Notamacropus eugenii: one gene and its partner. The protein of the gene in region 2 binds, or shares a complex with, the protein of the main gene of each other region. Links are inferred from orthologs where the notes say so. Each region holds a gene or a part of one and is shown on either strand. Other genes may lie near its edges. The genes, in order: ALKAL1 and LTK.

The links.
Region 1: the proteins of LTK (region 2) and ALKAL1 are in contact, whole or in part, in a crystal structure (PDB 7NX0), measured with the Homo sapiens proteins. The link is inferred for Notamacropus eugenii from reciprocal best matches to the Homo sapiens genes LTK and ALKAL1. Residues at the interface, in NP_002335.2 of Homo sapiens: Tyr124, His140, Phe143, Ala250, Ser251, Pro252, Glu253, Leu359, Phe360, Leu361, Gln362, Leu364, Ala365, Val366, Glu368, Glu372, Glu374, Arg376; in NP_997296.1 of Homo sapiens: His93, Arg96, Leu97, Asn100, Thr101, Arg102, Glu103, Arg112, Arg115, Leu116, Arg119, Leu120, Ser123.

The regions. Positions count from the first base shown.
Region 1 is NC_092875.1:270,219,191-270,226,398, forward strand, and holds the start of ALKAL1 (ALK and LTK ligand 1), read right to left. Parts: upstream 3,236-7,208; 5' UTR 3,196-3,235; intron 1,747-3,195; 5' UTR 1,736-1,746; coding exon 1,375-1,735; intron 1-1,374. UniProt on the Homo sapiens protein: Cytokine that acts as a physiological ligand for receptor tyrosine kinase LTK, leading to its activation. Monomeric ALKAL1 binds to LTK, leading to LTK homodimerization and activation.
Region 2 is NC_092878.1:27,621,618-27,628,992, forward strand, and holds the start of LTK (leukocyte tyrosine kinase receptor), read right to left. Parts: upstream 3,169-7,375; 5' UTR 3,079-3,168; coding exon 3,036-3,078; intron 1,852-3,035; coding exon 1,708-1,851; intron 1,446-1,707; coding exon 1,280-1,445; intron 1,010-1,279; coding exon 859-1,009; intron 730-858; coding exon 583-729; intron 424-582; coding exon 264-423; intron 158-263; coding exon 1-157. UniProt on the Homo sapiens protein: Receptor with a tyrosine-protein kinase activity. Following activation by ALKAL1 or ALKAL2 ligands at the cell surface, transduces an extracellular signal into an intracellular response.

The DNA of each region.
Region 1 (7,208 bases), on a different chromosome or scaffold from region 2:
AGAGTGGGACACTACAAAAAAATGACTAAACAACAACAAAACCAGAGAGGTGATGAGCTTCCTATGGGCATACAAACAGTAAGCAATAGAGGTAGTGCCTAAATAATCTCTAAGGTCCCTCCAGTTTTAAAACTAGAATCATATGACTCTACACAGATAGAAAAAATCACTAACAACAATCTAGTATTAAGGACCAATGAACAAAGATGAAAAAACGAGTAAGTTAACTACCAACTCTTCCAACTCTTTATTTCTTCAAGTTTCCTAGGGCATTTTGCTAGCTTGGCATAGCAGCAGTACAGTGGAAAGGGCACTGGCCTTGGAATCAGAAGATCTGAATTCTAGTTCTGGTTCAGTCATGTAACCACCATGAAGTTATCTGACTGTCCTTGCTTTCTTCAAATGTAAAACTGTATTTGTGTGTGTGGAATAGGAAAATAATAGTTTGTCCCAAGTGTGCAGGGACCAAGGGAATAATAAATTTGAACATGTTTTGTGATATATATGTAAATACCATCTCCTCTTTCCCCTACAATTTTATAGATCTTCCATGTAATTTCTGTCCTTTTCATTCTAGCCAATATCTTTAGTCTTCTTTTACTTCCTTCTCTACTCACTCTTTCCATTACCAGTCTTCTCTCCCCCTCCACACACTATTCACCTCCTGGCAACTTACTCCCCAAAGAAGTTTGGGCGATTCTGTCTCTTTCCAGACCCACCCACAATTTTAAAAGACCTAGAGAAACTGATTAGTGGGTGGAAATTTAGATCATAAGAAAATGGATTTCAAACTACCAAGGATCTTAGAGACTCAGAGAGCTTTAGACTTGCCCAAGGTCACAGTGTTTCGAACACAGGTCCTCTGGCTCCAAATCCAGCTCTAAACAATTTAGATTTAGATAGTGCTTACTCTCAATCCAGCAATCTTTGCATTTTATCCCTCCGTCTTTAACAATAACGGAAATCAACGTGTGTGGCCAGCTGGGAAGAAACGTAAACCTCTCACTGTCCTTAAATGAAATCAAAGCCCAAATTCGTGCAGAAGAGTTTAACTCAACTTCTTTCCGTGACTGAGACTTCTATTCGCCTCAGCATAATTTATTCCCTTTTTTCTTCCTTGGATCCCAGAACATATCCTTCCCCTCCCTTCTCTTCTCAAAGTCCCCGGACCAAAGCACCAATCCCAGAGGTAGATTTTAGAATGGAAAGCTTCAGAGAGGGTGTAAATTTCATGTTTTTGCTTTTCACAATGAGACTGGGATTTCTGGCATGAGACAGGAGGCTCTCTCAAGCCGCAGTCCGTTCCAATGTCCAGAAGTTGGATGCAGATCAGGTGCGCCGAAGCAAAGAATCAAGTTTGGGAATCGTTCTTACCTGCGCTCCTGGGTACGCTGAAGATCCAGGAGCCGGCTGGTTCAGTGGAGGAGGAGGCGGAGAACAGCAGTGCCCGGTCGTGGTCCCTCTGAGGTTCGGAGAACGAAGAAGTGGAGGGGGCTGCATACACCACGCGCTCCCGCTGACTAGAGGAGCGCACCTTGCCCGCGCCGAGGTGCTGCGGGACGTGGGCGCCACTGGAAGCTGCGGGCGCTGGTAGTAGATGGAGAAGCTTCCCTTTATCTCCCTGCGCTCCTGCTTGCCTGCGGCCCCGGGGGCTTCCTTGGCTCTCCTGGGAGGCCAAAGCGAGAATTAAGAGGAAGAGGGTAGGCAGCTTGGGCCACTCGCTAACTGCCTGCATCTTCTGTGCGTCTAAAGAGAAAGAAGGAAGGCGAAAAAGAAAGAAAACAGCAACATTTAGATCCTCCCAGTGCCATGCCCAGCACGTGTCTGGAACGAATTCCTAACCTGGACTGGACTGGGAAGGAAGAGACTCAGATGTCTAAGGAAAGAAACCCGATCAAGGATGATGGAGGGGGAGCGGGAAAAAGAAAAAAGGAAGAAGAAAGCAAGTGAGGGTCTTGTTTAGGTCTAAAATGTAGTCTTTCTGCAATCCTTATCCCTGGCCTCCAGAACCTTACTACCCCTGGGAGCCCTTCCCACCCCCCGCCCCTGCCCGGGGGGAAGAGTATTGGCACTGTTGGACTGTCCCGGACAAGTATCCCTCACCGGTCCATCAGCCCCTGCCTCAGTCCTTGCAGTTCAAATGCCCGAAAAGCAGTGCCTTGGGGAGCGGGCAATAGCCCAAGAGGCTCTCAAGAAGATGGAGAACTTTTCCAGAGGTGGGCGGGAGCACAGGGAGGAGGGAAAGGAGAAAGGAAAAGATGGGTTTAGCCCGATTGCCCAGGAAGCTATGTATGATCTGACACGAATCAACTTCAGAATCTCAAGAAAAGAAGCCTCTCGTGGGTAATTTGTGAAATTCGAACCATCCATCAGCTACCCAGTGCCACTCAGGCATGTGGGAGATGAACCATGGGCCAGACTGGCCAGCAAGCCATGCGCTTAAAGCTTTCTGACACTAGAATGTCACTAGCACACAATTACTATAGAGATTCCCCTATAAGTACAGTGAGAAGAAAGGGGAGAAAGAAGGGGCGGGAGTGGGGGTGGGGAGAGGGAGGAATTGGACTTTGGAGGACTTTTCTATCCCCTGGCAAACCTGAGGGGATAAAAAAGTCTACCAACCCCATGCTTTGGCTGCTTTTCCTGGGGTCCTCTCTACTTCACCAAACAAAGCTTCCTTTCTTCCTTCTTTCTTTCCTTCCTTCTTTTCTTCGTTCTATTATTACCTTCCTTCCATTCGTGCCTTCCCTCTTTTCTTCCTTTCTTGTTCCCTCCCTCCCTCCCTCCCTCCCTTTCTTTCTAAATAAATAAAACACCAGGTCTCTTTTAAATTTTACTCACCCTCAGTCAAGGAGATGTGTAAAACACAATTAACTTTTCAGAGGAAAAATGATAATTCCATTCTTAAGACAATAGTTTAAATGCAAACCTTTCCTGGACTACGATTTTGCATCCTTACAGGGAATCTCCTCCTCCTTCTCTTTACATCCTGGGAACTGCTCACACTAACCTCTGAGGAATAATATTGTTTAATTCCTTCTGTGGTTACCAAAACCAGCCAAAAGTTTTAACCACCCAAGAAGTTACCTATCTGCTGGATACTAAAGAGAGTAGCTTTCAGGTTACAGAGTAAAGCAAAAAAAAAAAAAAAAAATGCCTTTCTATGAGATGCTCTTTGAAGTATGGGGAGTTTACCTTATGCAGATGAATAAATCCTTCTTCACTGGCAAAATGCAAATGCTTTGTCTTCTCTTGCCCTTTAGTTCTTGCTTATGGCGGAGGACTCCCTCTGATTGGAGCAAGTGTGGCTCTCACACCCGCTCAGGAGACAGTAAGTGAGTGCCCCTCTGGAGTCCACTCCTTTGTTTTATACGAGCATGTTCAAATGAGCACTAGTAGGCTTTGGGTGGGTGGCAAATGACGAGGACATTTTAGGTAATCTTTTCTTCAATTCATCCTGGCTATTCATGTCAAACTTCTATTGTTTCCTTTTCCCCTCTGTGGGCTGCACTCAAGGGAAGAGTCATCGGCTAGAGTGCCTCAGATCTTTTTGTGAAATCTAATTTCTCTGTAAATCAGTAATGCTTACCAAAGGACACAAAGGATGACAGCATTTTTAAACTTCAAAAAAATCCCTATTCAAAACTTGTAAGTTCTACTAAATGAAAAATGAAATGAAATTCTTTAGTTCTAAGTAAAGTGACAATTATAAGACAATTATAAGTAAATGTTGTTTGTCAGATAATTATAGTTATTGATTATGAGTAGATATATATTTAGTTTTATATTTAATTGAAGAGACAATAATGAGTGTAGACTTGAAACAAGGATCTGGATTCAAATTTAGCCTCTTACACTCATTAATTCTGAGACTCTAGGGAAGTGTGTTAATGTGTTTATGCCTCAAGAAACTCCTTCAGGTTTGGTAACCAAACTACTTTCATATTACAACCTCTTGTCCTTTTACCTCCCCTATTCCTTGACACTAAACCAATTTTTTGCCCTTCTAGTCTTTGTTTCCTTGACCCATCTCAGTTCTCCGGGTTCATTTTCCCCAGTTGGCTTCATTTGCCTTCTTTTTTAATCTTGACTCCCTACCTCATTCCACATAGCAACTATTGCAAACCTTTTCTTCTACCAGCTCACTTCCACCTTCCACACTTAAAGCAGATTTAATCTCCTTCGCTGGGATGACTGAAACCAACCAATGTGAGGTCCCTTAGCTCCACATCTGTATTCCTGAATTTCTTAACATTAAAATCAATTCCTCCTCCTTACTAGGAATAATCGTTCTACTTGTGACCTTCAGACCATTCTTACTGTATCCTATAGAACTTTGTCCCAGAAGCCATCCCCTCTCACATGTAGGGATGGCAAAATGTAGAACTGTTCTTTTTCTGTATCCTCTGCATCTAACACACTTCCTTAAACATAGTGATCACTTAATAAATGTTTATTATACCATTGTATTGTACTGCATGACATTGAGTACATCTTCAGAAAATTTTTCTCCTCAAGAGTTCCTTTTGATTTGTCTACTTCCCAATCCTAAAAACAAAACAAAACAAACAAAAGAAATCCCAAATCCTCCTCTTCAGTCCCACTCTTCAACTTCCTTTCCTCTTTTTCCACTAAACTGCCTGAGAAAAGTTATCAATACTAGACATCTATATTTCCTCACCATCCACTTCACAATTTGATTCTCTCCATCACTACAACTACCAAGAATGATGACTTGACACTACTCTCTCAAAAGTCACTAGTGGCATCCTAGTCACCAAAGCCAATGGATGCTTCTTACTTTTTATTTTCTTTAACAGTTTTCAGTTTTTGATAGTGTTGATCACCAAAGGTTATGCCAGACAACCTTCTCCCCTCATTTTGAAAACACCACATTCTAGTGGTTTGCCATTTCTGTTGCTTTTCTCTATATCCTCCACATTGCCTTACTTCTCCCCAGTGTGGGTGTTCTCCAGATTTCTGTCCTTGGCCCTCTTCTCTCTCTACCTTTTCTCAGTTGTAAAACTTGTTCATTCCCACAGCTTCATATACTACCTCTAAATAAATAATTTCTAAAATCTAGATCTCCAGTCCCAATATCTCTTATGATATCGTAACTCTGATATCATAACTCTGTACCAGACATGTTCCTCTACTGACACCTCAAATTCAACATTTTCAAAACCAAAGATCAAAACTAAACACCATCTTTTGCTTCAAGCTTGGCCATATGTCTGACCTCATTATTTATGTCTGTGGCATCATTATACACACTATCTCCCATGTTTGTAATCTTGAATTGCCTTGGAAGGTTCCCTTTTCCTCACCTCTCACTTCCAGTCAATTGTCATATTCTATCAATTCTACCTCTATAAATTCCTTTATGCCATCAATCCTGCCTAGTCTCACAACAGCCATACTAGTACAAACTCACATTACTCCCAAATATATTAACATAAATTCCTAATGGTTAATCTTACTTAAATAATTCAAAAGAGCTTTCATAAATAAAGCAAAGCAGATAAAATAAGAAGAGACATAAGAAATGGGAAAGAGGAAATTTTTGCAAGAAGTTTCTCTGAAAAGGTCTCATTTCTTTTTTTGATCTTTTTTGTTTTATTTTTTAATCTAATTAATGAACAAGTTAAGGTATATGAAAGTGATGCATTATCATGCCATATGAAGTGATGAAGGGGGTGGTTTCCAGAAATAAAAAGAAAAAAATAGACCTGAGAAGACTTGTATAACATGATGCAAAGTGAAGTCAGCAGAGCTAGGAGAACAATTCATACAATAGTAATATTATTAGAAAGATAAATAACTTTGAAAGACATAGGAAGACTGATCAACATAATGACCAACCACAATTCTAAAAGGTCTATGATGAAATATGGTATCTACCTCAATATAAAAAGAGATGGACTCAAAATGCCACAAAAAAACCCAAAACTTTTCTTCTCTTTTTTTTTTCTTGCCTTCTCAACAGATGGAGGAGATATATAGGGCCAGGTAGAGAAATCAGAACTGCAAATAATATTTAATTTTTAAAAATAACTTTCCAGTGGGTTTTTTAACTCAACTCTGCCACCTCCAATGTATCCTTCATGCCACTACCAAAATATCTTCCTTATAGATACATCTAGTCATCTATTCATCAACCTGTTAAATTCTTCTGCTCAAAAATCTTCAAGAACATACTATTTCCTACTGAATAAAATTCAAACTTTCTTCCTTGGCATTCAAGATTCTCCACAATCTTGCACACTTACACCCCTCCTGAAACAAACTGGAGTGTTCTCTGCCTCATGAAAATATCCTTTATTCTCCCACTTCCTTACCTTTGTTCATACCTAAAACCATTGCCTTTTTCCTGGATATTGATTGTTTTCTCATTTTTTTCAAACCTAACACAAATGCCAGTAAACCAGACTTTCTATGATCTATTAATCCATCAATCAACATTTATTAGACACTTTGTGGGACATTATGTTAAATGAACCATCTACTGAGATCCCTTGCATTCATTTTGCAAGCTCAGAGTCATTCCAGAACAAAGAGAACTTGGAAGGAGGAAGTGAAGGATAAACTAAAGACAACTGAAGAAAACTTTTTCATTAGAGGTAGATCAAAGTAGAATGACTAAAAAATATTAATCTCATAAAATCATCAAAATAATCTCAATGCTTTCAAGTAATTTTCTTGTCCCTTGAAAATATTTTCAGAGTACTCAACTTAAAGGGGAACCTGGAAGAAGCACTATAAAATTGTGACTTTGAAGAAAACAATTTATTATTTTTTCTGGATTCAGAGTCAACAGGAGTTTTATATAGTAAAGGCACCCTATAAGTTGAACTGGTGAAAAAAAAATTCAAAAGAACAGGGTCAAACATCATGTACAAAAAAGAACTTATTTTGGGTACATGGAAGTAAGGATATCTTCTATCAGTGGGGTGCAGTGAGTAGAGTGTAGGGCCTGGAGTCAGGAAAACCCAAGTTTACATCTGGATTCAGACACTAGCTGTGTGAGCTTGGGCAAGTCACTTAACCTGTTTGCCTCAGTTTCCTCATCTAAAAAATGGCAGTAATAATAGTACCTATCTCCCGGGGATGTTGTGAGGATTGAATGAGATAGCAAAGATAATCACAAGGTTCAGCACAATGCCTGACACACAGTAGGCACTATATAAATGTTAGCTATTATTATCATT
Region 2 (7,375 bases):
GCGGTGCAGGGCCCGCCCCCGCCCCCAAAGCCGCCGGTAGGAGCCCAGCGGAGCGCAGCCCAAGCTCCGGGACAGCCTTGGCCTCCCTCCGCTCCTTCCAGCAGCGAGCGACCGCCCTGTGCCGAGGGAGCCCCCGATTTCCATCCGCCTCCTCCACCTGCAGAACGGACCAGAGCCTGAGCCGGGGCGGGCAGCCCCAAGGAAGTTTTGGGGAGCGACGCCACACTCCAGCCGGTCATTTAGGGTCCCGGGCTCCCTCTCACCTGCGGCCCCGCCCCTCCCGCCTCTCCCAGGAGCAGAGGTCCGGTTCTCCAGCTTCTCTTGGGTCGCCCTCAGCGAGCCTCTCTGTAGTCTTCTAAGATAGGCTCGGCCCCCGCCGCCTGCAGCCACCAGCAGAGGCTCCAGTTCTCCGGACTGCAGCTGCTGAGAAAGTTATGGGTACTGTCAGGGGTGCTCCCAAGGGCCCTCCTTCACGGGGGCCGGGAGGATGAAGGAGGGCCCTCGGGGCCTGGGGATGGAGACACAGCCAGGAAGAAGGATCCAGGGAGCCCTGGGGACGGCGGGGGAATAGAGGGGACCTACCCGGAAGACGTAGGAGGCGCCCCCCCCGCCCCCGCCCCCTCCAGCCCAGCGTCTGGGACCCAGGAACCCTGGGGCTCCAGCCGCCTTCTCTTCCTCCTCCGCTGCTGAGGACGTCCCGAGACAGACGTCTTGGCTCTCCGGGCTCCCCTGCCAGCACAGAGTGGGACAGAACAGACAGTGGGTTCCGACAGCTCCCCGTTTCCTAGCCCGCTTCCTAAACACTCCAGGCGGTCTCCGTCCCCGCGCCCGCCCTTTCCCATACCCCCCACTGCTTACTCCGGGACAGGCATCCCCTCCCTGCTGCCCCACCAGGATGTAGAGCAGCTCCCCTTGGCGCAGGGTGAAGACGGACGAGACGAAGACCCCGTGGGCGCGGGAGTTGTGGTTCTTGGCGCCTTTGCCTCCAGCGGCCCCGTAGGCAGAGATCCTGGGGGAAGCCAGCCCTGGCTCCTTAGCCATCCCCACCCGGGGCTCAGATCCCTCCCACGGTGACCGCTCTCCAGACCTATCTCCAGCTCCATAAAGGTTTGGTGTTTTGTTTTGGTTTTTCGTGGCGCAGGGAGGAGAAGGGGGCGAGGTCAGGCCACGGCGGGCTGGGGTCCTAGGCTTGACGGGCGGAATCCGTGCTCCTTTGCTTCACCTCTACATCCCTATCGTTTCCTAACGCAGTGGGGGCAGTCCCTGGACGAGCACTTACAGATAACGGTCGAGGGCTGGCACCTTCCAGAGCTGCACCCCTCGGAGGGAGCCCTCTGCTCCCACGGTCACCGCCACGTTGCCGCCCTCGTACGCCCCGTCGCACTGAGCCTGCGTGGGGCCGCGCCTCCCGCTAGCTCCGCAGGTGGAGAATTGCCACTGGCCGTCTAGTCCGGGGGACAGAGGGGAGGGGGACGGTCACTGAGGACCCACCCACGTCCTGTTCAGCTGCTCATAGCTGAGGTCTCGAAAGGCTTGCAAAAGCGAGCCCAACGTGGCTTCTTTTGGGGGGGCCCAGGAGTTACAGCAGTGAGACGTCGGTGGGGCTAGAAATGTCTGCGCGTGAGTCAGGATTGTGAGACTAGGAGAACCGGAGGAGGGGAGTTGTGGGGTTTGGGAGGGAGCAGCCAGGGACACCCGAAGTCTCACCGGAAAGGCCATGGGAAGCTGCTGGCTCCTGAGTGCCACTCTGGGAGGCGACACCAGTCCTCTGGAGTCTGGGGACAGGAGGCGTCAGAGAAGGAGGCAGGGAAGGGACCGGAGACTCGGAACTCGAAGAGCAGACAATGACACCTGCAGAAGAAATCCAGACATGACAGGCGGGGATTAGAAAGGTGTGGCAAATGGCTTTGGCTGGAGTTTCAGCCCTGCCACAAACGGCTGTGTGACCCTGGGCAAGGAAATGGGCCTCAGTTTCCTGGTCTGTAAAATTAGGCCTAGGTCAGATACGCTTAGCCATTTTTGTCATAAACCTTCTGGCAGTCTCATGAGGTCTATGGATGCCTTCTCAGAATAAAATAAAATACAGGGGATTACAAAGAAAATCAATGATAATTAAATAAAGATGTAATTTTCCCTCCTTCAGGTCAAGAACCCCGGTCTAGATGATCTCAGGTTCTTTCTCGCTCTAAAATTCTATAATCCCTGTGATTTGACGGTATTAGTGGTGGGCACAGAAACTCGTCAAAACCTGCTTCCTAACCTTGGGTTAAAGAGCTCTCTACCTTCAAAGTAAGGTGAGGAGTAGGGAGAGATAGAGATGATTCACTGAGCATGAAAAGAAGAATAAGGAAGACCTCGGAAGAACCCCCTTGACGCTTTGCCTTGGCAAAACCATGCAGACCCTCACCACAAGTGCACAAGGAGATACCCATCAGTATGGCCACTCCCTCTCCCGAGCGCTTGACACCCCCCCCTCCCCCCCCCCCCCCCCCCCCCCCGCTGTTGTTCCTGGTGGGCAGAATCCAGAGCTCGGAGAGGTACTGATCCTGCCTCCCCATCAGCTCAGTGACCTACTGGGCTGGGCCCCTTCCCTACCTCACATCATTCTCCCCTGGCTCCCCCCAAACCGAGTCTCCCCCTGCTTCCCCAGGGTCTCAAATTTATTCCGAAAGGACCGGAGCCAGGAGTGCCCCTGATCTCCTGGGACTTGGATCCAGTGCACTACTCAGGGAGAGGGCCCCTGGAGAAGAGACATCGCAGAAAAAGTGGAGGGGTCATCTGGGCCATACTACCCGCCCTGGCCACTGTGAGACGACCTATTGTGGACCTAAGAGGTGCAGGTTTCCGGGTCCCTCCCAACGACCCTGCCTACCCCCATCCACCCTGACAGGTTGCAGGAGAGTAGGAGCTTCTGGGCTTGCATGCCAGAAGACTCAGCTTGTCTTCACTCCTGTCCCAACCTCCCTAACACGGGACGAGGCTGGGTGGGGCCCCTCGGGTGCTGAATACGAGCGGTCGGTGGCTATGACGCTTACCTCCAGAGCTGAGCCACAGCAGCAAGTGGACCAGGCCTCCCATCACCCCACCCGCAGGGGCCAGCCAGGTGCGGGCAAGGACTCCGCAGACGCTGTGCTGGACTGTCAGACGGCCTGAGGCTTATAGGAGTGTCCAGCAGCCCCAGGGTACCTCAGGGTCCTAGAGCCCGCCCCAGCCACACCCGTTTCAGACCCGTGGTCAGAGCAGCTCAGGAACCAGGGAAGCGGAGGGGGCACAGTGAGTCGGCACCAAGTTCCAGCATATGACTAGCCAAATCCTCAAAGAACCAATTCCAATTTTGACCAAAAATCACCTTGGCCTCTGACCAATGACAGGTTAAGAATGGGGAGAAGCCAAGCAGCCCCTCATAATGCCCTGGGTTTTTGGGCCCCAGCTACATGGATGCCCTAGGGAGCTAAGGAGGAAATTCGGAGGCAGAGAAGTCGGACAACGAAGTCGGTCCTTCCCTGGGCTTCATTGATAGCAAGTTGTCAGGTGTGATGTCAGCTAGTTTTATCCTGGGAGAGATGGAGTGTGGGGTTTTGTATGACTCTTGAGGTGTAATTTTTAAACTTTGTGATTATTCTATCCAGTCTCTGGATTAGAGGTCTGTTAGCCCAGAAACTAACACTGCATATTACACCCTCTTACATACCCACCTTACATACTACACACCCATGCCATAAATCCCTTTTCTCACATTCATTTCATGTACAAGGATGTGCACTGGGGGGGGGGGAGGGGGGAGCACTGGACTAACTAGGCAGTCAGGCGACCTGAGTTCTACCTTCTGGTGTGAACTTGGGCAAATTCTTACTCTCTCTGAGTCTTTTTTCCTCAGCTATAAAGTAGGGTCATTACCTGCCCTGCTTATCTCTCAAGCTTGTGTGTTTGAGTTTTTTAAGACACAAATCTAAGGCATGAAGTGGGGTAATGCATGGAATGCAGGACTTGGAATCAAGAAGAATTCCAATCCTGCCTCAGACACTTACTCGCTACAACCCTGAGCAAGTCACATAACCTCTCTCAGCTTCAGTTTCCTTTTCTGTAATGGCATAATAGATAATAATAGTACCTCCCTCACAGAGGTGTCCTGAGAATCCAATGAGACAACACATGCACAGTGCTATGCAAACCTTAGAGTGCTATAAAAATGCTATTAGCAATTAGCTAATTGTTGGTATTGTAATATGTCCCAAAGTGTTAAGGTTTGTTGGGTGCACTTTAGAAAGTCAAAATATTCAGATAATATAGGCCTTGTCACTGTTCACAAAATGTGGGGAGGAGTAATCTGATTAAATGGGAAGGGCAGCTAGCCACTGGCTGCGTAGAGATGGGCCACATCCCTGGAAGACTTAAAAAGTTAATCCTGAATCATATAAAAAAACTTGCTCCAAATCACTATTAGAGAAATTTACATTTTAAAGCAACTCTGAGATTCCATCTCATACCCATCAGATTGGCAAAACTGACCCCAAAATGACAACTGTTGAATGGGCTTTGGGAAAACAGAGACATTAATGTGTGTTGTTGGTGTCAAAATGGTATGGGCCATTCTGGAACAAAATTTGGAACTAGGTCCAGAAGGTTACTAAGCTCTGCATGCTCTTTCACCTAGTGATACCATATCAGGCTTCTGCTCAAGGAAATCAAGGAAGGAAGCAAAGCATTCATATGTACACAGGGACAGCTCTATTTAAAGTGGCAAAAAATTGCAAGTTTAAGGTGTGCTCATCATTTGGGAAATTACGATATTTGAATATAATTATGATATTTGAATATAATGGAAGACCATTACGTCATAATAAAAGATAAAAGGGATGGTTTTGGAGAATCTGTGGAAGGATTTGTGTGAACTGATGCAGAGTGAACAAAACCAGGAAAAACAACTTATATAACAAATGTAAGGACAAGTATCTTTCAAGACTTAAAAATTCTGATGGAGTCAAGTTGCAGAATGACATATTCTTGGACAGAGCCAATGTGGAATTAGTTTTGCTTTTTCTATGTGTGTTAAAAGGATTTTGCTTTTTCTTTTAAATGAAGGAGGGAAAAATAAATGTTTAACAGAAAAAATAAAATAATTTTTAAAAAAGACTAAGTCTCCCAAGCCCTGAGGACAGTTTGATTTAGCATGAAGTCTTGCGGGCAGGAAGCAGCTGTGTGTAATATGGCTTTCAGCTCCTATCAGAGGTCAGTCAGGGATTGTGTTTTCCTCCCCAGACTCATTATCATCCTTGTCTTCTAGCATTGGAGCTACTCAATCAATAGGACCCACTAAAGGAAGAGGCAGCTCAGAATTCAGTGTGCTCAAGGCAGAAAACAAAAATACATACACTCCAGCAGGGACAAGAATTAGCTTTAAAATGCATGATCTCTGAGAGCAGAGAGCTGATTTTTTGATTCAATCAAGAACTATCCCTGGGAGTTGAGAGCAGAGCTTTGGAAGGCAGCAGACCTAGGGATCCCAACGGAACATCTTAACCCAGAAGAGATACTGTGCCTGGGATGGAGGAGGACTCCATGAAATGATATCAGGACTCTGCAGTCCCGGAGGGCATAAGACGCCCTGGTCACACAGGTCCTGATGGCGGTACCTCAGGACCAGCGTACTCTAATGAATGTGTTCCCCCTCTTTCCAGAGACATGTCTATGCGGGAAATTGTCCCCAGTCTTCCTGGAGGGAGAATACTCTGTAGCTGCAGTTCTTACCATGGCAAATAGTTTGCTTTGAATTGTGCCTAACGGCTATTAAACTCACCAGACTGGAGTTTGGGGAGGCCTGGACCCTTCCGCTACCCTGAGAATCTGGGAGTGGAGACCCAGTCTACAAGCTTGAGGGGGCTGAGTTTGAAAGGCAGCCCAGGGACCCTGGAAAGAATGTGTCAGTGGTGATTTCCTTATAGTCCCAGGCACTCAGACCAAGACATCCCTCTTATAGATACTGTCTCCCCCTGTTAGAAATAGAATGGGAACTCCTTTTTGTGTTCTTATCTCCAGAACTGACCTTGGCATAGAACAAGTGCTTAATATTTTCTCATGGATTTACTCATTTGTTCTAAGTTTTTTTACGCCTCAAAGCAATCATTTGAAGCAAATGCTAGTACCACAGGCATTACCCCCTTTTACACAGAAGAGAAATGAGGTACAGAAAGATGACCAGACCTGGTGGTTTCTTGGAGGAAGAGGACAAGCATTTATTGTCTGTTCTGTGTCCAGTACAGCGCTAAAAATCTTATTTCATTTGATCTTTACAACAACCTGGGGAGGTTAGGTGCCATTATTCCCCTCATTTGACAGTTGAGGAAACTGAGGCAGGTAGAGGTTAAGTGACTTGCCTAGGGTTACATAGCTAGGAAGTATCTCAGGTCTTCATAACTCCAGACCCAATGCTCTATGCACTGCAGGTACATATACTGTTAGCATCAGACCAACCCAAGTCTGCTCTTCCTGACTATAAACCCAACACTCCACCTACTTATGTGCTCATAATCATAACTCAATTCATCATGGTGTGGCTGGAGGTGATCTCAGAGAGACAGCACTTAGGGTCAAGTCCTCCCTCAAATTACTAGCTAGGTGGCCATGAGTAAGTTACTCAGATACCTCTCTAAGGTTAGAAGTTATAGTGAAAGGAATTGCCTATCAGGGGTGGGGAACTTTTGGCCTTGAGGCCACATGTGGCCTTCTAGGTCCTTGGGTGCAGCCTTTTGACTGAGTCCAAATTTTATAGAACAAATCCTTCTATTAAGGGGATGTGTTCCGTGAAGTTTGGATTCAGTCAAAGGGCCACACTTGAGGATCTAGAGGGCCACATCTGGCCTTGAGGCCAGAGGTTCCCTTCCCCTGGCCCTACACTGATGAAATTAAACATCTCTTTAACCACCAAAGCCCCCTTAAAGAACTTAAAAAAATCTTAAACAGGGTGATTTGGGGTATCTTGTCCAAAGGCACAAGACGGATGGGAAAGGCATGTTGTTTCTGCAAATGTGCCCAGGAAAAGGAATGTATGTTGTTCAGCACTCTGATATTATCACAGCTGTACAAGGAGAGGGCTTTGCTTTACACTGTATTTATTGTTTTTGTTAACAAACCATTGGGTGTCTTAAGCCTTAGTTTTACAGGACAGAAAGTTCAAAGTCAAAATGGAAACTGAAGGAAGGATATGAAAAACCTGAGAACACTGTATCTCTATCTGTACATGCAGATGGTGTGATACCTCCCATTACTGCCTTTGAACCAATTTCCTTCCCTCCACTCCCAATCTCTAGACTACAGGTGGATGCACACTGGTGTTGATCAATTGTTACTAAGGAGACTGTTGATGACTCCAATTGGG